Linked DNA regions of Lepisosteus oculatus. The protein of the gene in region 1 purifies or fractionates together with the protein of each later gene. This does not show direct contact. Links are inferred from orthologs where the notes say so. Each region holds a gene or a part of one and is shown in the gene's direction. Other genes may lie near its edges.

The links.
Region 2: the proteins of golga7 (region 1) and cldnd1b purify together in Homo sapiens (affinity purification with mass spectrometry; 3 studies listed by BioGRID and IntAct, counting the BioPlex papers as one, with this or other methods). This does not show direct contact. The link is inferred for Lepisosteus oculatus from reciprocal best matches to the Homo sapiens genes GOLGA7 and CLDND1.
Region 3: the proteins of golga7 (region 1) and zdhhc5a purify together in Homo sapiens (co-immunoprecipitation; 3 studies listed by BioGRID and IntAct, with this or other methods). This does not show direct contact. The link is inferred for Lepisosteus oculatus from reciprocal best matches to the Homo sapiens genes GOLGA7 and ZDHHC5.

The regions. Positions count from the first base shown.
Region 1 is NC_090697.1:67,434,679-67,441,817, reverse strand, and holds the start of golga7 (golgin subfamily A member 7), read left to right. Parts: upstream 1-4,033; 5' UTR 4,034-4,124; coding exon 4,125-4,133; intron 4,134-7,139. UniProt on the Homo sapiens protein: May be involved in protein transport from Golgi to cell surface. The ZDHHC9-GOLGA7 complex is a palmitoyltransferase specific for HRAS and NRAS.
Region 2 is NC_090701.1:44,637,429-44,644,833, forward strand, and holds the start of cldnd1b (claudin domain-containing protein 1b), read left to right. Parts: upstream 1-4,383; 5' UTR 4,384-4,502; intron 4,503-7,405. UniProt on the Homo sapiens protein: Plays a role in negatively regulating the permeability of cells to small molecules.
Region 3 is NC_090701.1:41,810,158-41,817,888, reverse strand, and holds the start of zdhhc5a (palmitoyltransferase ZDHHC5-A), read left to right. Parts: upstream 1-4,671; 5' UTR 4,672-5,666; intron 5,667-7,731. Other genes in the region: polyribonucleotide 5'-hydroxyl-kinase Clp1, read left to right, coding at 2,350-2,811. UniProt on the Homo sapiens protein: Palmitoyltransferase that catalyzes the addition of palmitate onto various protein substrates such as CTNND2, CD36, GSDMD, NLRP3, NOD1, NOD2, STAT3 and S1PR1 thus plays a role in various biological processes including cell adhesion, inflammation, fatty acid uptake, bacterial sensing or cardiac functions.

The DNA.
Region 1 (7,139 bases):
CTGTGTTACACTGTTTTTATAATTAAGGATGGATTAAATTAAAACTTCAGTCCAACCACAAACAGAAAATTCAAAGCCCACAACTTTATAGAGCGGCTTTCCATTGGATACACAAACTGAAAAACAGAAAGGTATTTATCAAGCGCTGCATTTCAAGTTTGTGCTTGTGTTATTCGCAGACAAGAAGTAATGATTTTCATGTTTACTATAACTGCTTATGTTAATTCAAACTGTGCATTGTATGATCCATCCATATTTAATATATAGTTGGATTGAAGTACAGTATCTAACGGATACATAAGCCCAACAGCTTGGCAACAAAGTTATTTTATCTTATGTAGTAACTATGTGTCACAGAGCATGAGTGAAATAAATGTTTTCAACACCATCAAAGGCAGACAAAATGCTTAAAATTGATTTAATAAGATGTTTTGGACATTAAATAGTAAATACCTTTCTAAACATTTTTAAACAATAGCTCCAACTGACCCTTTGATAATCTTGGCACAGCAATTTCTCTTTATTACAGAGTTTATTTAATCAGGGCTACAGCACTGTAAATACAGTAGAATCTATACTGCTTACTTACTAAAAAGGATAAACTCAACAAATGAAGCAGAAACTGAATGTACTGCATTTCTAAAGTGAATTTTGTGCAGAATGTCTTACATTCATTTTAGATTCTAAACTATTTTTTTAAATTCACACAGTAAATTTAATCAGTGTTTGCTGAAAGTGGGAAAATAAATGAAGTAAATGTTTTACATGTTATGTTCCTACTGTAATTTAAGAAATATATAAGGAACAAATAAAACAATACATCTCTTTATCATACAATACAGAAATATATTGAAACTGCTCATTATTTAGCTGAGTTGTTTCAAATGTGTAATAGTTTATTTTTAAACACTGAGGCTTCAAAACAGTATGATAACTTTTAAAATAATAAAATGTGTATTCTTATTGTAATTTTCTTATAGAACAATACCTACAGTAACATAACAAATGGAGTTATTTTTTAAAAAAAATCCATAGCATTAAAATACAAGTGTTTCTTTGTATACACTGCAATAATCCATTTGTTAGGGATTAATTTCCTTAGCTGAATAGACTGCTTGAATCAATATGGGTAGGAAATACCCATGTTTTTAAATTATTGCACCCCCTGGCCTTACCATGTTCATATAAATCAGACCGTGTCATTAACAGGTCTCTATGCAATTTTTTTGGGTTCACTGGAATGCTCCTCAGCACTCGTTTAACATTTCTCGTCAGTTTTTAGCTTTCCCCTCCTTTTGTAGGAAGCCAGGGGTCGACGGGGTAATTGGTTCATGCAGATAACGTACTTGCCATTCAAATAAACTCACCGTTTCGCAAGTGAAAAGGTCAGCCCATTCTCAGTGGCTTGAGTTTCTACACAAACAGGAAGAAAGTCATGATGGGTTCATGAACCAGAAAAGCTAGTCTAGTGGAACTGCACCCTGAACTACACTTTGAACCCAACTTTCTTTCTTCTCCGTTTTTTGAATGTGCTGGGTAAAGGTATCAGATGAATACAGAATGAACAGATCTGCCAGACTGTGACCTCCCCAGTGCTCTCCATTTAATGTTCCCCTTTCCCATGAGGCCTTGAGAACCCACCCAACACACAGACAAATGCTCACACAGGCTGTCTGAAAGGGTTAATAAGTCTAGTTGTCTACTGGTAGTTTTGTGACAAATCGCATATAGAGTCAGTGATTTGAGCTAAAGTATCTAATTTCTAATTTAGTCTTTTATGTCATTAACATGTCAATAATAAATCTTACAAATCTATAATGCTCTTTCTTTCAGAATTTATAACTTTATTCTGACTACTTTAAACTATGTCAGTCCACAAAATCTTTTGCTGAATTATGTTTTTACAAGTGTATTATTAACTTTATTAATGATCTTTATAAATCCTTATTATATGCTATATAGCCTTATTGGTGCTTTGTCTTTATCCTATTGGATGTTAATGCTAATTGCCAAGACTAAAATTAAACAGAGGTATTATTCAATATACAATTTTTCTGTGAAATAGGTGACTGAAAAAATGTGCCTATTCATGAAAGGAAAAGGAAAAAGGTAGAATGTAAAGATTTTTATTTTTAATTGCTCTTTTTCCCATGGGGAAAACCTAGTATTTACTTACACAAATGTTGTATAAACTGAAAATCTTCTCCCACTAGGGCAGATTAGCTACCTACACCTACCTACGCTGCACCTGAAACGTGAAAACCAAGGTACATGAAAACTTTTTTTTCTAAATGAAATATGTCTACCACCAGAATTTTTTACTATATTATAGCAGGTGGGGTCACTCATTTCAGAAATGGTGGGAACAGGGGCTAGGATGGGCTTGGGAGCTAATTCCATATTGCTGTAAAGTTATCAGCATCTTTACACCCCCACTCAAGCTCATAACACTATTAGTTGCAGCTACAGTGGTCACAATATACATCTGACCTTGCTAAAGAGGAGGTTTCAATGCAAAAAAAGATATGCCATGAATCTGTCTTTTTACAATGAGGAATCTGTGAAACTGAACTTCATGTTTTTTCTGGATAAATTATTAAGCCTTTTAAACTTTAAATCTGTATATTCTCTCTCCCACACTTAATTATGTGGTAATACCAACTCCTGTCACTCATTTTGATAGGTTTTGTCATGTTAAAAATGCTTTTGGAGTTCGAATTGGAGCTTGCACAAAAGCATGGCCATTTAGACACTTAGAATTAGAGCGAAGCAAAAAGAAATGTGCTCAATGCAAAAAAACAGATTTTTGTGATTAATGGACTGAATGCCTTACATTTCTAGAAATCCTGGTGAGATTCCCAGTTTGCCTAGTTTTTAATGGGAAAAAAATGTAATGACAATAAAACATCAATAAAACATTTGAAAAGGCAAAGTAACCCAACTGAGCTGGGAACTCACTAGAAACACCAATAACTCTAATAATTAACGAAACAGAGATACAGTACTGCATATACAGTAGCAGCCTTTGTTGATCCACTTCTGGATTAATTCTTCCCTAAGACTCTTCCATGAACATTTGCCTACAGCTATCTTTGTCCAACTTGCTATTGCAAACATAATGATTTCACCTTTTAATTTTACATTTGTCCTTGTTATTTTATGCCTCTTGTAAACTAGCTCAGTATTTCCTTGGTCCAGAGAATGTCTGTTCTATGTTTTATGTGTCCTACCCATTGCCAATTCATTGTTTTTCTGATGTCACATGCCCTTTTTGGGTGTTCTGACCCAAGCATAAACTGTTAATTGTGTGTTGTTTGGTGATATCAGAGCGAACACTTTTGAGCACTCTTGAAATCTTATAAATGGTGCTGAGTAGGTTTATCGATGTCTGTTTTTTAAACATCTAAAGCAGGTACGTTGTACAGAGTGTGAAATGCTTTCTCATATGCAGTTGATTCAATAAATGCCAGTGTTTTAATGATTGTCCAACTACTTGCTGACAGCTCAGTGTGTTATATCCAGCACTGAATCCTGCTTGCTCTCTAGGGCGGACAGAGTCCAGTTTTTCTTTGAAGCCTTAGCGCACATCTTGTTGCTAAATGTCAGCTAGCTGTACTGTATGTTTTTATTGCTGTTCTTGTACAGAAATGTCAATAAGGTATTGCTCCTATGACCTGGAAATCCCCTGCCTGTAAATACCAGGAGATGGTGTAGTTTGATGGGATCTAGTTTTGGCTCTATTCATGCGGAGTGATAGACAATTAAAAAAAGTTCCAAAAGTTCCGATGAGTTAACTCACGTGCAGCTTTATACAAACGTTGTTAGCCTCTCAAATTTGAATCAGTGAAACGATTGATTCTGCAATCGTCGGGATTGCTTTTCCGCGTTAAAAGTCATTTTCTAACTTTTAGAAACACTTTAAGAAATAAGCCACTCTTAGGAACAAGACTGAAACGAAATAAATTCATTAGTAAATTTAAATTCTGTACAGTTGCTGAAAAAAAGAGTTAATAAAATAATGGCCTTCAAGCGGAACATGTTTTTCAAATTTTCAGTCGGACTTGTAATGTAAGTGCACCAGTCAAGGCGGAAGTACGGAAGTAAGAAATTAAAGGGGTTTCAACATGGCGGAGGTAAGGGAGGGTTCTAATTTTGTTCTAAGTTTATTTTATTTGGTTAGAACGGTTGCGAATAAAAAAAAATAGAGAAACCTTTAAATATACAGTATATTTTTAAAATATCCATGTGACATGTTAATGTTTTGGTGTGATGTGTCAGTACAGCGTTTTGTGCTCCAGCGTGTTTACAATGTTACTTGCTTTTGAAAAAACAAAGCACAAATCTTGTAATCGATAAGGTGGGGGAAAAACACTGACAGTTTCTGTAACAATCTACAACTTTACTGTTCAGCTCCTATAAATTATTGTAAGGAAGGTCGGTTAGGATATTTCATTAAGACAAAAGCTGTCTGCTATCAGTTCAACACAGCTCTTCAGCAACTGCTTTGTCCAAGAGAGAATCCGCCGTGTTTCTTCTTGATAGTATTTAATCAAAACAAATGGACAGCATTTTATAGTGTTAAATGCATGCTTTAACCTACGTCATTGTTTAAATGTATTTGCTCGGAGGGTAATGACAGAATTTTTAAATGCATTTCTTCTTTAGACAACTAACGTTTTTAAATGAGTCGAGTAACTGGGAAGTATGAATGAGGAGCCGAAAAGTGAAGCTAAATTAACAATGTACTAAAAGCTAAACACATTTTAACAAAGGAACCGTTTGTTTTTTAAAAAATATTGATTCAATCGACTTAGTCTAAAAGTGTCTTATTTTAAAAGTACCTGCTACATGACATTTAAGTATGGAAGAATTGAAGAAAAATCGTGAATGTATTAGTAGGACAAATTAAAACCTGCTTAAATGTTTACAGGTGTTTTTTTTTTCGTTTCGATCAGTTACAATCCGCGTTATTTTATTTTTAGCTAGTTGAAGTGTTGTGGGGTTTATGTTTCAGTTTGATTAAAGATTATACATTGTTTTTTTATGTCAGTTCTCTTATCTGTCCACAAACACAATCAGTCAATAAGAATGAAATATTTTAAAATGAACATATATTTTAATAATGTACAGTGAATGTCTACTTCTTGTGATTTACAGTTTTTAATTATGTCTTAACAACAAACATCATGAATCATTGCCGTATTCTAGATGGGATAGTTTTGTGACACTATCTTCACCTTAATCTTAAAATGTCTCTTGTGAATTGGAACAAAGGTCTATTGCAGTATTATACAGATTGTGTTACATTCTCTCTGGCAATGCACAGGACGTCTGCCTTGTTCATTATGCTCTGTCGTCACTCAGCTTCAGCAAAGGTAATACTGATGAGTCAGTGACTAAAGTTGTATTGACTGACATGAGATCTTGGCCAAAGCATTTTTATTAATCCTCTATACTCTGTGGTGCATAATTGGCCTGACCAATACTTTCTTCTGGCATTTAGATAGACACATTTAAGTGCTTGCTAAAGCATAATGACTTGCTTAGCAAGCTTCTTAATGTGTGCAGATACCATATATATCAATGTTAGTGGGGAAAATCTGAAACTGAGGTATCTGTGGTATCCTGCACAAGCAGCAGTTAATTAATAGGCACTCTCTGGGAGCTATGTAATCGTGGAAAAATAGCATGTGATGATCAAACTTAACTCTGTTATATCAGAATAATGTACAAAGAAAGGCTTTGTCAGCAAAATGCGTGTAAAAATTCAAAGAAAATACACACATTAAAAAACTAGTGCAGAAGTGCTTAGACTCTCCTAAGTCAGTACTTGCTGGAAGCAGCTTCAGAAGTAATTGTTGATGTGACTTTTTGGATAAGTCTTGACTGCTTTGTTCGGTCCTGTTTTCCCACTCTTTGAGAAAAATTGCTCCAGTTTGACAGTATTACTGGGGTTTGTTGATGGAGCACAATCTTCAAGTTTTGCTATATATTTTCTGATTCAACTCGGGGTCATTGTTGCATTGTCATTAATGTCTTTCTTGTCACTCACCAATACAGGACAGCTTTATATAGAATCTGGTATATTGTCAATATGTGACATTGGTGTTCATACACAGAAGTTTGTAAACCATTTAAAGTCAGTGTTCATCTCAAAGTAGCATCTCTAACCAGTATAACTTAGGTCCAATGATATGAAACGCATTCCACTTTGTGATTACCAGCAACTTTGATTTTTTGGGTAAAACGTTCCTGATCTTTTCTTCTACTTTATTCTTGACTTGTTTGGAAAGGACCTTGGTCTTCATGGTTGATTTGATGCAGTGTATCACTGTGTTAGTCGTGGCTTGAAATTCAATATCTAAATCTGCTGAGACTGATGCAATAACTCTGAAGTCAAATTAAACCACTTTGAATGTAATGAACAACCATTACACTGATTTTCTGAATTTTCTGACTAATTGTTAGAACCTGAATTCATTTCCGTTTATCATAGAAAATATTTTGAATACTTACACATTTGAGAATCTTCGTATTTTCTTGGAAAATCTAATAGATTATTTACATTTAACAATATTTTGTAGCTTAATCAGTTGGGATGGGTTTTGCGCAGATTCTCAATATCTCAAATATTTGAGAATATATTCTCAAAGTACTGTTTGAAAGTGTCATGATTGCAGGCTTAGATTACGCACAATGTAGAAACGCTACAGGGGGGCATGTACTGTAAATGTATGGATTCTACTAAATGTGGTTTTAAATGTGTGCTGCGAATTTCAACGCTGGAATTGTATTAGAGGAAAAACTCTTAAATTCTTTGCCTGTTTTTAGATAAAATGTAATTCCAGTCTTCAGACATGTAAAATTAGATGTACTAGATCTTAACTCAATACACTGACACATTGTATGCTTTCTTAAAGTCTCTTTGTAAGGCTTTTCCAGTACATACTTGGATAAAAGCACCATTGTTGATATTGTTTTATTTTTGTAAAAATAAACAGTTACAGTGACGTGGCATCATGCAGTAGAATTCAAAGCCCGTTTAAGGTTACAGAGATGAAAGTCTTTCCTTTTAAAATATTGTGTTCAGTTTTGGTCCTCACAGTGCAAAAAAAGGATCTTGCTGCTTCAGAATCCAT
Region 2 (7,405 bases), on another chromosome or scaffold:
TTACACAAAGGGTTGCGGGGGTCTGGAGCAAGCTGCCCACTCATGAGGTTGAAATGCGAGTGTCTGATTGTTGAGTTACTGAGCAGCTGATTGAGAGCGTAATGTTACAGTGAGCACTACAGCCTCACAGCTCCAGAGGCAGGGGCTCTAGTCCATCTGGGAGCATCTGTCTGTGCGGAGATAGCACGTCAGTTTAGTTCCTGACTGTATCAGTGACTCCTTACACACCTCCTTGGCCTGCTTTTGGTTGCCAGTATGAGGCTCCAAACTCTGGAAGACCCTGGGAGACACAGGGAACACAAGCTTGTGTGTTCTTTTAGTGATCTACGATAAACTAAGATCTAAGATATGATCTTCTCTTTACAGACCTGTTGAACCCTTCTGCATCCTGTCTTATAACTCACTGTTGTACTCTAGATCTTAATTCTGTTTCCCTTTCTGTTGAAATTTGGTTATAAATGAGTATTCTGTGTTATTTTATTTTGGCTTGTTTTTCTTCAAAACTCATCTGGAGGAAGTGTTATGAAAGTTGCAATATACCATTAAGATTAATATTGTTACAGCTTTAGGTGACTTAGAAGTGACTCTTAGATTTCAGATAAAGTCTGTGACACTGGGAAGAGTAAACACTTCAAACGTGGAAGGAGAGAGGATGTTTGCTGAGGTCTGGGGGGGTCCCTTGAGCAGAAACAACTGAACAGTTTATCTTAGCATACCTAGGTAAGTTCTGGGTTAATGATGGCAAAGGAGCAGGACAGAAAATGACAATGTAATATCACATTAAGAGCCCGAGAGGAGGAAGGAAGACAGGAGAAGAAAAAAGAAGAGAGAGGAGCCCAGAGGAGTTGGCGAGAGCCCCTACTTCATGCTCACCCAAACAGAACCTGACTGGAGCCAAGTATTCGAACCTTGTTAGAGAGAGCGCTGTTCTGTGTTTTCAGGGAGCTTGGGTTTCCTGGTACCTCAGTTAGAAACGTCTTTCCTGATTAGGGTGCATTTTATGGATTGGGATATAGGCTCCCATTCATTTTGTGGCATCCAGGGTGCAGAGAGAGAGATTTAAGTGTAGATTGATTCTTATTTAGTTAGAAGGCAGCTCATCTCTTGTGTGGCCTCTGTAGGCATATTAAGAGTTTTGTGCTTAGTAGCAGTCTGGGGGTTTCGGGGTGACCAGAATGTTAGGCCTTGTTTGTAAATACTGTACACAGAGTAACTTGTGTGCTGTGTGTAGTGTAGTTTGTGTTTTGTCATTGTAATAAATATTTGTTTAACCGAGTGTGTCTGGATTAATACTCCTCTCAACAAAGCTGTGCCAGAGGACAAAGAATTCCTATGCCTCCAATTATACCAGCTGCTCGGGTATAGAAATCACTTACAAGTTGGGGGTTCTGAATAATTATTTCACTGATCGACTAGCCCGCTCAGTCAATTCCTGATTTTCACCAGTCTCGTTACCCCCCATTTGTCACAATGTGATGATGGTGTGTGTCCATTTGACACTGCACACGGACAGAGGCAGACCCACCGACAGCTGTGACCACAGTGTAAATATACCAGGCATCTGCTGTAGACTTACTACAGGACCCAGTTACTGTCCAAGTGAGTCAGATTAACACTGCTTTACAGTCTTGATTGAAGAGCTAGGGTTCTCACAGACGGAACTGTCACAGTAAGTCAGAGTAACACTGATCTACAGGCTTTCTTTTCAAATAGTATTTTTGTGACTTCAATGTAGAAAAGCTGCACTACATTTTCAGTTTTTACTTAATTTTTTCAGCTAACCTCAAACGTTTTGCTGTGGTTTGTGTTGACTAGCAAGTCTTTACTCTCAGCATGTTATATTGTTTTGTAAAATGTCACAGTACCTTACAGCACTTTAATGAATTTGTACCAGGAGTTCACTGTACTTTCCTGCTCTTTGTGCTTTACCATGGTTTCACTGTACTTTACTGGACTGGACGGGACTTTTACAAGTATCTTAACCGTAATGTTCGCTGGATCTTACTGTATTGTAGTAAACTTGAGTGCATTGTACTGTATTTTTGTCTTTGATCTCACTGGACTTTACTGCTCTGTACTGCGCTTGTACCCTGATTTCACTGGGCTTTACTGCACTGTACTTTGCTTTTAATTTAATCTCCCTGGGGTTTACTGCACTGTGCCGCTCTTTTACCTTGATCTTACTGAGCTTTGCTGCACTTTACCGTGTTTGTACCCTGGTTTCAGTGGGCCTTACTGCACTGTGATGTGCTTTTACCCTGATTTCACTTGGCAGACTTTCTTGTGCGGTAGCACAAAGAACAGTAAGACGTGACTCTCAGCCTTGAGTTTTACAGTCCCCGCATCAGGTGGGGCTCTCTGCTGCTACGCTTGACACTGGATGTGTTTGAGAATGAAATAATTTAGACCCAGTTCTGGTCAGAGAAGAAGCGTTTTTATTGCAGGATCTGATACACACAGCCTCCTAGAGTGCATAGAAGGATAAAGAAGAAACAATTCAGTGTGGTTAATTCAGCAGATCAATCGGAATCAGCGGAAGCAGAGCTGTGTGATTGATATGACATGCGCCAGTGAGCTGCTTGCTGAAGACGAAAGGGATTCCTTCATTCCTTCCCTCCTGGGCCGTCCCGCTCCTCGTCTCTCTCTCTCTAGCCCCCTTGGCAGCGGTGGAAGGTGATGAACTGGAGTTTGCTGCAGTTTCCCAGCTGCCCCAGGCACTGCTCCGGTCTGACAGGCTTCCCCCGCAGGGCCAGCGACACATCGGGACCCAGATCCGGCAGCTCCGCCCGCAGCTTCACCAGCAGCCGGCCCACAGTGTCGGAGCGCAGCAGCTCCAGCTCCCGGCTCTTCCCACTGTTCCCGACGATGACCTTTGCCATCACAGTGCCCCCTAGTGGCTCCTGCTGGTCCCTCTCTGCCAGGTTCAGGGTCATGGTGGTGTGAACCACACTGGGCCAGAGGTCGCTGTCATATTGACAGCTGGTCTGCTCTGCCAGAGGGAGTGTTGCCTGCAGGCTCCCAGCGGGCTGGAATGAGGAAATGTGTATCTGGGGAAATCCAGGACAAATCAGTCAACTAACTGTCTCTGGCTGTCTGTCCATCACTCAAAACTCAGGTGCAAACTGGAGATCAAAGAGGGAAACCCAATGAGAAAATGTAGCTCATTCTGCCTGAGTATAGGTGACTGTGACTAACACACAGCTCTGCTATTGACAGAAGAGCAGGTATAAACTGCAGGATCTCATTCTGCCTGAGTATAGGTGACTGTGACTGACGCACAGCTCTGCTATTGACGGAAGAGCAGATATAAACTGCAGGAGCTCAGTCTGCCTGGATACTGGTGACTGTGACTGACACACAGCTCTGCTATTGACAGAAGAGCAGGTATAAACTGCAGGATCTCAGTCTGCCTGGATACTGGTGTCTGTTACTGACTCACAGCTCTGTGATCGACAGAAGAGCAGGTATAAACTGCAGGATCTCAGTCTGCCTGGATACTGGTGTCTGTAACTGACTCAAAGCTCTGTTATCGACAGAAGAGCAGGTATAAACTGCAAGAGCTCAGTCTGCCTGGATACTGGTGTCTGTAACTGACTCACAGCTCTGTGATCGACAGAAGTGCAGGTATAAACTGCAGGAGCTCAGTCTGCCTGGATACTGGTGACTGTGACTGACACACCGCTCTGCCATTGACAGAAGAGCAGGTATAAACTGCAAGAGCTCAGTCTGCCTGGATACTGGTGTCTGTAACTGACTCACAGCTCTGTGATCGACAGAAGTGCAGGTATAAACTGCAGGAGCTCAGTCTGCATGGATACTGGTGTCTGTAACAGCTATGTTATTACCAGCCTCAGTAAGAGATTTTCAGCCTGGTAAACATACTCTTCCCCTTTCACCAGACTAACTCAGCTGGCAGTATGCACGCTGTGTGCAGAGGCAAGAAGACACTCTTCTGATGCAAACTCTCTGTGATCCTTTGAAAAGCAAAGTTATCACGTCTCGTTATATATGGCCAATAAAGTGATCTGTTCCTGTGTCTTCTTCTCCAACCGCTGCTATCTTCTCCACACTGAACACAGACCGCACAGCTGCACAAGAAGCGGTCGTACAAGCGAATTCCCCAGGCACCCAGAGTGGGGAGAACACACCTCGCACACACACCACACAAACTGCTCCGTCTTAGTTACGAAATAAGAGTACACAACAGCCATCGCCCCCGGTGCCTGCTCGCGTGGAAGAAGAGGGATGGTGATAAAACAGACCTGTTTCTGAGTGCACATCGCCATGATCTCTCTTGACTTCTCCCTTGGCTTTGAGTGCTGCTCTCCGTATCAGCTTTCTCTTTCTCTTTCGGATCGAGCGCCGGATCTTATAAGCTGATCATGACTCCACCCTGGGGGGGAATTCCTCGACCTCTCGATGTACTTTCACTGGGCTAATAAACACCACAAGGAGCCAGAGATCTCCGATCCTCTTTTTCTGATAAGAGACCCTCAGCCAAGGTCAGTGTCAGACCCAAAGAGGCAGAAAACGTACAGCTTCTAACAGGAACCACAGACAGGATCTCACAGTGCCTCTGAGATATGTTTATACTTCTGAGGAGACAGGGACAAAATGATCACTGAAAGTCTTACAAGCTGAATAATGGGTCTTGCTCAAACACTAATTCTCACAGCATCAGACTGTAGTTGTCCTGCACAGATAAAAAGTCGTATTTGTCATAAATTATTACTTTACACCTGTAAATATTCCTTAAAACAAAATCCAATGTCCAAGATTAAAAGAGAGTTAAGGCATGGAAGACATTCAATAGTAGCATGGCAGTAGAGGCTCTCAGAAAGCTGAATCTATCACTTTCCACTGTAAAATCTATCATTAATGATCTCACTCATAAAGTGTCCACTCTGCCCGGAAGAGGGCACACTTGTCTATTGTCACCACAGGCTATGAGACAAGTGGTTCTGGAGACAGCAGTACAACTAAAAGTTCGCAAACAGTTGAAGATCTCCAATGCACTTGGGGATATTCAGGATACAAAGTGTAGAAAACTGCCTTTCAAAGTTGCTTGCCTGAATGCGACATTCATACCTGGGCATCTAATTTTCTATACAATTCATAGCAGAAGCCTCTTCTGAGGGTGAACCATAGACTGAGGTGACTAAGGCTTGACATCACTGGATCGACAACTGAAGCCATGTCCTGTGCTCAGTTTCCATGAAAAGTGAGCTGTCTGGGCCGGGTCCGGACAGCAGTCTGGACCAGTGCTTTCCAGGACCAGCGCTGAGGATCCCTGGACTACCTGGGTCGGACCAGAGTCCTGGAGGAGTGGTAGTAGTCTTTAGTTATGAATGTCAGGGTGCACTTACACATGGAGATCACCAGGGACTTCCAGTCTGAGAACAGGAGACACGTCTTTACACAAAGGTAGAGGCAGTGAGAGGTGGCTTTTGAAACATTTTGCGTTTATATTAGACAATATTGTGTCTAAACGAGAAACCAGATAACATTGTGTTAAAACGCAATAATTAATTTCTAAACAACATTGCCTACAATATTATATCTTGCATTAAACTCTATATGTAATAATGTTGCCTCATGCAAAGTAGCATTGACTTGAACAACACAAGAATATTGTCACACTCCTCTTTGTGCAAAAAAGACTTAATCAAATGGAGCACGTGGACTGTTTTTGCACACAAGAAGTAAAACACTCTGTCAGTGAGCATTCCTGGATTTAAACGCGTGTCATTGTCACAATTACCGTGAAAACCATGAATGGCATGCCTTTCCAATCGAATGTTATTCTAGAGGTGAAACTGCAGCAGCATGTGTGTCTGATCTTCCAACCATGCACGGAATACAACAATGATGACTTGGCAGCAAGACACAGTATCTACTCTTAGCGTACTGTTAAACCTCAAAAGCTTTTAGACTAGGCTTATTTCAAATGCATTTGAATTATGAGTGACACAGCAAAATGCTGGAAGAGTAATTGAAAGGGAGGAGAAACAGTACTTCTGTGTCTGTTTCCACAGGCGTGAATGTTAAGAGATAGGGGAATGCCGAACTAAAAGAAGAAATCCAGGATGGCACACAGCAGCAATGACAGTAACAGTAAGCCAACAGGAGGTATGAGCTTTGCTGTCAAGTGCTCGTAAATGTATTCCTTTCAATGCTTAAAGAGTAGGCAAAAACCCTCGCTATTTAAGTTATTAGGTCAAGTCAGTCTCCACTTTTCTGGATGGGGGTGATCAGTCCTTGATGCCCTCAGGTGAACAGCCGGCTCTCAGGACGAGGTTGGAGAGTTTGAGCAGGGCCTGCTGCTTCTGCAAGCTGCTATTTCTCAGCCTTTCATTGGTGACTCTCTTTCTGTGGCGGGCCAAGCTCTGCGATCGGGGAGTCTAGGGGGTTTCGGTTGTCTTTGAGTTTGTCATATACTGGATGTTGTTTTGGTTTAATGCTTCTGTGTTTGGGATCTGTGGGTAGAGATTTGCAGAACTGTTTTGCCAGACTGATCCATTTTGGTTGGCTGGGTTTCCTGGTTTTGCTTTATTTAAATGAAATTCAGCTTTTGCCCTAAAGTACTTATTGACTCCTCAACTTGTGAGAGTTGTCTATTTGCGCATTTCTTGTGTGTGTCTGTAGTCAGTATGGCTGGAGCCTGGAGCCTGGAGCCTGGAGCCTGGAGCCTGAAGCCTCCTCTCTGTCCTCTCCCTTCTCACACAGACTGAAAGACCTACCTGCTCATGTACATCATCTCTCAAAGCCAGGGGACTGGCCAGACCCACCCAGCCAATCCAGTCTGCTCCTCTGCCTGTGGCATCTGTTTCAACATGGAGAAACTAGTTTTCAAGGCACTGCAGGACAACTAAGTGCAAGATCAGACAAACCCAGGGCCTCTTCTGGTCTTATAAATGCATAATGTTTCAAATACTGGGAGACAGAAGAAAGGTAAAATTCTCTTCACTCTGCCTATGTCCCATTCACCCCTGTGCAGCATCAAAACAGAAAGCAAAAGCAGAGGAGAACTTTGACTCAAAACATAACGTGACATCAGAAGGGGAACAGAGGTAGTTTCCAAAGACAAACTTCCGTGTTCAAATAATTGCCTGGGCTTCTCAGGCTATGGCAGAGAGTCACACTGTCAGGACACCCCAACACCGAGGGGAAAGATTCACTCCATAGGACACCCCCACACCGAGGGGAGAGTCACTCCGACACCCCCACACCGAGGGGAGAGAGTCACTCCGCAGAACACCGAGACACCCCCACACCGAGAGGAGAGAGTCACTCCGCAGAACACCGTGACACCCCCACACCGAGAGGAGAGAGTCACTCCGCAGAACACCGTGACACCCCCACACCGAGGGGAGAGAGTCAATCCGCAGGACACCCTGACGCCCCC
Region 3 (7,731 bases), on another chromosome or scaffold:
AGTCTGGTATTGCTCCAGGAGCCTCTGTCATACCCCACTCTCTCTGGGGCTGTCTAGTATTGCCCCAGGAGTCCTCTGTGATACCCCACTCTCTCTGGGGCTGTCTAGTATTGCTCCAGGAGTCCTCTATCATACCCCACACTCTGCAGGGAAGTCTGGTATTGCTCCAGGAGCCTCTGTCATACCCCACTCTCTCTGGGCCAATCTAATATTGCCCCAGGAGTCCTCTGTCATACCTCACTCTCTCTGGGGCAGTCTAGTATTGCCCCAGGAGTCCTCTGTGATACCCCACTCTCTCTGGGGCTGTCTAGTATTGCTCCAGGAGCCTCTGTCATACCCCACTCTCTCTGGGCCAGTCTAGTATTGCCCCAGGAGTCCTCTGTGATACCCCACTCTCTCTGGGGCTGTCTAGTATTGCCCCAGGAGTCCTCTGTGATACCCCACTCTCTCTGGGGCTGTCTAGTATTGCCCCAGGAGTCCTCTGTCATACCTCACTCTCTCTGGGCCAGTCTAGTATTGCCCCAGGAGTCCTCTGTGATACCCCACTCTCTCTGGGGCTGTCTAGTATTGCCCCAGGAGTCCTCTGTGATACCCCACTCTCTCTGGGGCTGTCTAGTATTGCTCCAGGAGTCCTCTGTCATACCCCACTCTCTCTGGGGCTGTCTAGTATTGCTCCAGGAGTCCTCTGTCATACCCCACACTCTGCAGGGAAGTCTGGTATTACCCCAGGAGTCCTCAGTGATACCCCACTCTCTCTGGGGCGGTCTGGTATTGCCCCAGGAGTCCTCGGTGATACCCCACTCTCTCTGTGGCGGTCTGGTATTGCCCCAGGAGTCCTCGGTGATACCCCACTCTCTCAGGGGCAGTCTGGTGTTGTTCCAGGAGTCCTTGGTGATACCCTGCACTGCGGGGAAGTCTGGTATTGCCCCAGGAGTCCTCAGTGATACCCCACTCTCTCTGGGGTGGTCTGGTATTGCCCCAGGAGTCCTCAGTGATACCCCAAGTGTTCTTAAAAACAGGGAGTGCCGTTCCACTGAGGATGCCCAGGGGCAGTGTTCTTACAGGGCTCTATTTATGGCTCTGTAGTGCTTCCTTCAGAGCTTTTCGCTGTGGAGAATAGGAGTTTTATTTTCATTTCTGGAGTGTGGATTTAATCCCCGAGTAATTCTAATTTTGTTGCAGAATTCAGTGTTGCAGCACTGAGCCCAGCAGTGCGGGGAACTAGGCAGAGGTTATAAACACTGTGCAGGCCCAGGGCCCAGGGCTCAGGAGGACACACTGACAGAAAACCACTGTAGGAACGAACTGCACTCACGGCTTGACTTCGGGCAATTTTCATGATTATCGCATCACACCGCTGGTGCTCCAGTGCTGCTTCAGTGCTCATGCACCCCAGTGGGAGTATTGTAAGAGTACTCATAAGGCTTTGGTGATGCCTCTGGGATCTATGATGAAACCCATTTAATTTATTTTCCCCTGTCATTGTCCTTTAAGCCCAGGAATATAAGTGGCCACACTGCAGTGTCAAAGTACTTTAAATGGGGCCTCTGTGGTCCGCTGTACAGTCTTGCTTCAGTGTGTGATAATTGGAAACAAGCTGACCAGTCAGGCTGCCCACTCCGTCAAGCTGTCCTGACTTCTTTCAGGACGCAGCTGGACGAGATCCTCCAGTCAGGACACGAGGCACTTCTTTACACGAAGGGTGGTGGGAGTGTGGAACAAGCTGCCCAGCCGTGGCGTTGAAGCTGGTACCTTGGCTTCTTTCAAAACCCAGCCGGATGAGATCTTTGGATCAATTTGTCATGAACTACCAAAAGGGCTGAATGGCCTCCTCTCATTGTTGTTATGGTCCCTCGATGTAAATTCTACACTTCTGGCGACATGTCCTCTCGCTGGGTAACTGCTGGCCCACGGTGGGAGATGGTGGTGGTGTCGACACCAAGGGCTGTCTTTCTCAAAAGTAGCCTCCTGTATCTCGGCGTCCTCCCTGCTAACACGAGCGTGCTCAAGCAGCAAGAGAGTCACGCCAGCGTGGCCAGGCACTCGCAGCTCGTTAACATAACATAACATCACTTTATTGGCCATATACAATTTCTTGCTTTAGGAATTTGTCTTTTCGCATACCCCAGCTTGCTCTCCATGAGACACACAGACAGGGAGAGAGAAGCTGGGGGTCAGAGCGCAGGGTCAGCCATTTATACGGCGTCCCTGGAGCAGCTGGGGTTAAGGGCCTTGCTCAGGGGCCCAACAGAGTAGGATTTGACGTTCCAGCCACAGGCGCACATCCTTAGCCACAGAGCCACTGCTCCTCCCCAATAACTCATTAACTACTTAACCCCTCTCTTCCAGGTGGTGGAGCGCTCCAAGGAGTGCCGTCGCGAGGCGCGAGACGAGAAGATCCGGGAGTACTTCTACGGCTTCCGCGGGGTCTCCTTCTTCCCCCACGCCTTCGACGTGCGCTTCTCGGACGTGCGGATCTACAAGATTGGCGCCCCCTCCATCCCGGACTCCTGCCTGCCGCTGGGCATGTCCCAGGACGACACGCAGCTCAAGCTGGTGCCCGTCACGCCCGGGCGGGACCTGGCGCACCACGTGCTGAGCGTGAGCTGCGGGGGCGAGGAGGGCGGGGCCGAGGCGGGGGGCGGGAAGGCGGCCGGGGGCGGGATCCTGGACAGCCCCGTGTGCGGCTTCATCGTGGTGACGGCGGTGGACACGCAGAACCAGGTCATGACCGTGCTGTCCCCCGCGCCCCGGCCCCTCCCGCGCCACGTGCTGCTCATCATGGACATCCGCTTCATTGACCTGAAGTGAGCGCCGGGCCGGCTTGGCTCAGGCGGTCTCGCGCACGGACAGTGACCGTTTTAAAGCCCGGTTTGGGGGGTTGGGGGGGGGGGGGGCGGTTCCCAGGAGCCCCTGCAGCAGCTTGACGTCCAGGGGCTTGAACGGAGACAGAGACGTGGAGCCAGCAGTGACCTTGCCCCAGTACTTTCATGACGGGCTCTGAGTAAGTCAGCGGAGATTGTGTTTTTTATCATCACCCCACCCAGAAACACATCCAGGAGCTGCCACGGTTTCTTACTCAGCAGCGGGAAATTCTGTTTTTTGTCTTTCCTGGAAACAGCTCTTTTACAGATTTGGCACTCTGACTGCACAAATCAGAAGGTTTGCTTGTTTTAACAAAGCTGATTTTTTTTTCTGGAGTATTTTTAATAAAAAAATTATTTGCTACAAAAAAGCTGTTCATTTTGCATTAGTGAGAGGTGTAGCAAAGTCACTGTTTGAATCAACCGATTCAGGAGAAAGGCAGTTGAATGCCGTTTTATACAGTTTTTAAGACGGGTGTTGAGAGTTCTGTGCAAAAGCACCAGATCAGAAAAACACTTCTAAACTAGAGGATCAGTTCTAAATTGCGGCCCATCTAGGCTGATTGATAATTTATCTAATAATCTCATTCATGTGTCTTGAAAGAAACCAGACAACAACGTGCCTGGGAAGCTTGTTCCACACTCCCACAACCCTTTGTGTAAAGAATGGCCTCCCATTTTTGGTTTTAAATGCTCTTCGCTGTAGTTTCCATTGGACTCTTCTTGTTCCTGTTTATCTGCTGATTCTTCTAGGTTAGAACTGTCAATGTGTTTTTCAGGATTGTGAATACTCGTATCAGGTCTCCTCACGGTCCAAAAGGCTCAATTCCTTTGGCCTGTCAAGTTAGGACATTCCTTTCAGCTGTGGAATTAAAGAGTGTTGGTCAGCACATCATTCAGTGTCTGTGCGTTTGTCACACTGGGAGTCAATAATGGTCACTCAGACTCTGTTAGTCCTTCACTTTGTCACATTCAGATTCGAAGAGCTTTATTGGCCTGACTGATGAGTTATAGCAAATACAGATATCACTATTTATACACATTTACAGTACAAATATATTATTGGACATTTATGTACAACACATAAAACATTCTTGTCCGTTCCTGAGATCACATACTGAAGTGGTCACTGAGCCTGTCCTCTCTGGACAGACAGGTCTGTCTGTGTCCAGTTTCTGTGTCCAGGCTGTGGTCACACAGAGCTGCACAGGGTCTCTTTCTCTTTGCCTGGTTAGGTGCTCATCTAGTGTGTATCACTAAGGGTTCTATAGCATTCCAGTTGTTGTTATGTTTGTGTGTGAGTCCCAGTGAGAGGGGTAGTGTTGTTTGGCTTGTGTTGTGATTTGGTTGACTGATTCATGCTGTTTTAGCTGTGCTGGCGTGAGACAGGTTGGTGTCAGTGAGCCTCAGGACCAGCTGGCTGAGGGGGCTCTTCTCTGGGCTCAGCAGGGTCTTGTGGTTTTAGGAATTCTGGTTACAGAATTAACACAGCTGGTTGTGTGATCCAACATGTTTGCTAAATGTGACAGTCCTTCAGTGTGACAGGCACTCATCACAAACATCTGTTATGAAAAACCAGTATGATATTGGATCTGCATATGTAGTTCAAGTAGATAGCTGCGTCAGCATGTGTAGGCTGCAAAGGAACAAGTTAAAGGTTTATTCCATGCTGAAAAGAGAAGAAAGGAGACAACGTTTCGACTGTGGAGTCTTCTTCGGTTGTGACATTTATATGTTTAAATGTATATGTAATAATTAACTTCTTGACAGAAAATGGTCTACACATCTATGTATTTTGAATGTTATCACACCCACGTCCCCGAAGTGCACACACATCACATTAATCATGGAGTGTGAACTGAATCAAAGTGGGAGGGATTAAGGTCACCTATTTTCTTAACCCATTTGGCTGTCAGTCGCAGCGCTCCAGGCACCTCACTGGCTGTGTTGTTTTGGAGTGACGAGCTGGTTCAGCCAATGGCAGCTGCGGGGAGGCGGGGCTTCCAGCGTGTCCTCGGGAGTTGAGCAGAGGGGGGGGGGGCGAAACCTGAAGTGTTGCTCGTGCCGGATTTTCTGGGCTCGTTTTTTTTTTAAACCAGCGGAGTGTCGCGCACGAGCCCAGCGGCCGATAACCGCAGATTTGAAGAAAAGCTCCGCTCCCGCTCTCCGCTCGTTTCGAAGAGCGGATCAGAGACGAGACCGGGAGGGACGACTGCCTGCGGAGGGGAGGACAGTTCGTTGATGAAACCCAAATAAACATCAATTGGAAGAGACGGCGAGTGGCCCCCCTGAGCTTGGACCGGGACTGTCGCGTCTCCTTCTTCGAGTAACAGAATCTGTTCAAGTCCGCCTCGGCGAGACGGGCAGGAGGAAGAGCGGGGCTCGGCCGAGGCTCAGCGGCTCCTCCGGCGGGTTGTAGCCCCGTCGTGTCGGGTGTTTCGGGTCCGGACGGGACGTGTGGAGAAACCTGCCCTCTTCCTGCGGGGGGGGGGCGGCCGCACACGGGGTTGTTTTGCCGGGGTCTCGGTGGATACCATGAGAGGGAAGACCCGTCTGTAAGCTTCTGGGGCATCATCCCCACCTCCCGGCATCGTCAGCCGAGGCCCCCCCGGAGTCCGCGGGCTGTGCGGCTTGGCCCAGCCCGGCGGCGGGGCTCGCACGCCGGCGGAGAACGTCGAGGAGAGCTCGGGGATCAGTCCCGGGGCCTTCGTTCACTGCCACTCGGAACTGCTCATAGACGGCGACACACCACCAAAAATTAAAGAAAGGTCACCCGGCGCCGCGGCGGAGGGGCGAGAGGAGGTGAGCCCGTTTGTTGTTACGCTGTTCTCTCGTGTGTGTCTACCAGACCTTGTGTGTTATTGAGCCCAGGCGGCAGGGCGCACAGTCCCGGCTCGGGACGGCCTCTGCCGCCGGTGAGGAGCTGGGAGTGGGGTGGTGGGGGCAAGCCGGGCGGGAGGTGTCGGTTCTGCTCGGACAGCTCAGCCCGACCCGGTTTGGACCGCGGCCAGCGTGTTAAGGTCGGGGGTTTGGGCGTCCCGGGTCGCCGCTCGGACCTGTGTGGGCTGTGTCGGTGCCACGGCAGGCCGTCAGCTTGTTTGTTTTCTGCTCCCCTGGGATGGGAAGGGAATTCCCCCGGCCGGGATGCCGGAGGGGTCCCGGCTGCTTGTGGGAGCTGCTGGCGAGGAGGGTGGCTCTCTGAAGAGCTTGCTCTGGACCTATGACGTGTGGACTGGAGTGGAAGTGGGTTTCAGCGGCGTGTCTGGAGTTGTGCTTCTCTCTCTCTCTCGTGTGTGTGTGTGTTTTTGGCAGGGATCCGCAGGAAGACATGCGGGGCGGCGTTCAGACGAGCTGACCCTTGTGACACAGGTGTGGTGTCTTGACCCCCGTGTCAGATGGGAACGCTGCTCTCCCTGATCGGAACCAAATTCTCATTCAGCCAGTTAGCTCAGTGCCCCCCACCTCCCTCGTCCCCTCTCCCCCCTTTTTTGTGAGATGCTGTGGGGATCTGCGAGCTCAAGAGTAACTTCAGTAACTGAGTGGTAAAGTGGGAGTCAGCCGTGATGTGGGGGTGGGGGGTCCCACTCTTAGATGAGGTGAAAGCTGCAGTCTGGGGACCTGCGGTTTGTTATAACCTGAGGCCACCATTAAGCAATTAACCTCATTATTTTTTTTAGCCATATAGGACTCAAAGTCCTTTACACCTAATTAATTTTATGACAGCTACCAGCCTGACCCTGGCGCTGGTGGGGCCAGTGTATCTGCAGGTTTTCAAGCCAAATCAGCCTGAGCTGGACTGGGTGGTTACTTGTTCAACTGGGCCACTTCAGCAGCGTCTCCCAACTTTTCTGCTGCCGGTGCTGATGTAAGGAGACCTTGAAACCCCCTCGACAAGTGTCCCCTCCGGGGCTGCGGTTGTAGTCTGATTAATAAGTGCCGCAACGTGAATTTTATTCATTAATCTTTTTATACCCTGCCTTTTGTGACATACTTCGCAGTGACGGAAAGGCAACACCGGAGACGCGCGCAACACGAGTAAATTAAACGGAGGGAAAAGCCGTAGTGCGAAAGAGACCTCTGAGAGGCGTCGGGGAGAGCGGAGTGACTTGCGCAGTTCCGCTGAGGGCTGGGAGCGCTGGGACGTGAGAGCAGAGCCGAGTCCGAAGAGCACAGGTGTATAGGGTGTTGGCTGTAGTCAGGGGCCCAACCCTTCAAGCCCTCAGCAGGATTTTCAGTCCTGTTCTGGAGTAAAGAGTGCGGGAGGCTGCAACACGAAGGGAGTGCAGGAGGGGGCTGTGTGTCTCCCAGGTGGGGACGCTGGTGCAGGAGGGGGCTGTGTGTCTCCCAGGTGGGGCCGCTGGTGCAGGAGGGGGCTGTGTGTCTCCCAGGTGGGGCCGCTGGTGCAGGAGGGGGCTGTGTGTCTCCCAGGAGGGGCCGCTGGTGCTGGAGGGGGCTGTGTGTCTCCCAGGAGGGGCCGCTGGTGCAGGAGGGGGCTCCCATTGCCACTGATGAGTAAATTAAAAAGACGAAGAGGTAAAGAACGCTTGTCATGGTGCTTTTGTCAGGTTTCTGTAGATCAGGTGAAGCTCACTTGCATTGAAATGGGCCAGGTTTTTAGTCTTTCGACCACCAGCTGTCTCCAGTCACCATTCGTCGCGGGCGAATCGCGAATCCCGGCGGGGCATTCCTGTGCCAGGGCTGGTGGGGTTTAAAACGAGCCGGGCGGGACTGGGTCTCAGCGCAGGCCTGTACACCCAAGACCTCGGCCGTGCTGGATGTGTCAAACGGGAATCCCGCGGTTCCTGCTCCGGGGTGCCGTGACACGGCCTGCCTGGAGGTGTGAACGCGGCAGGGCCCGCGTGCAGCG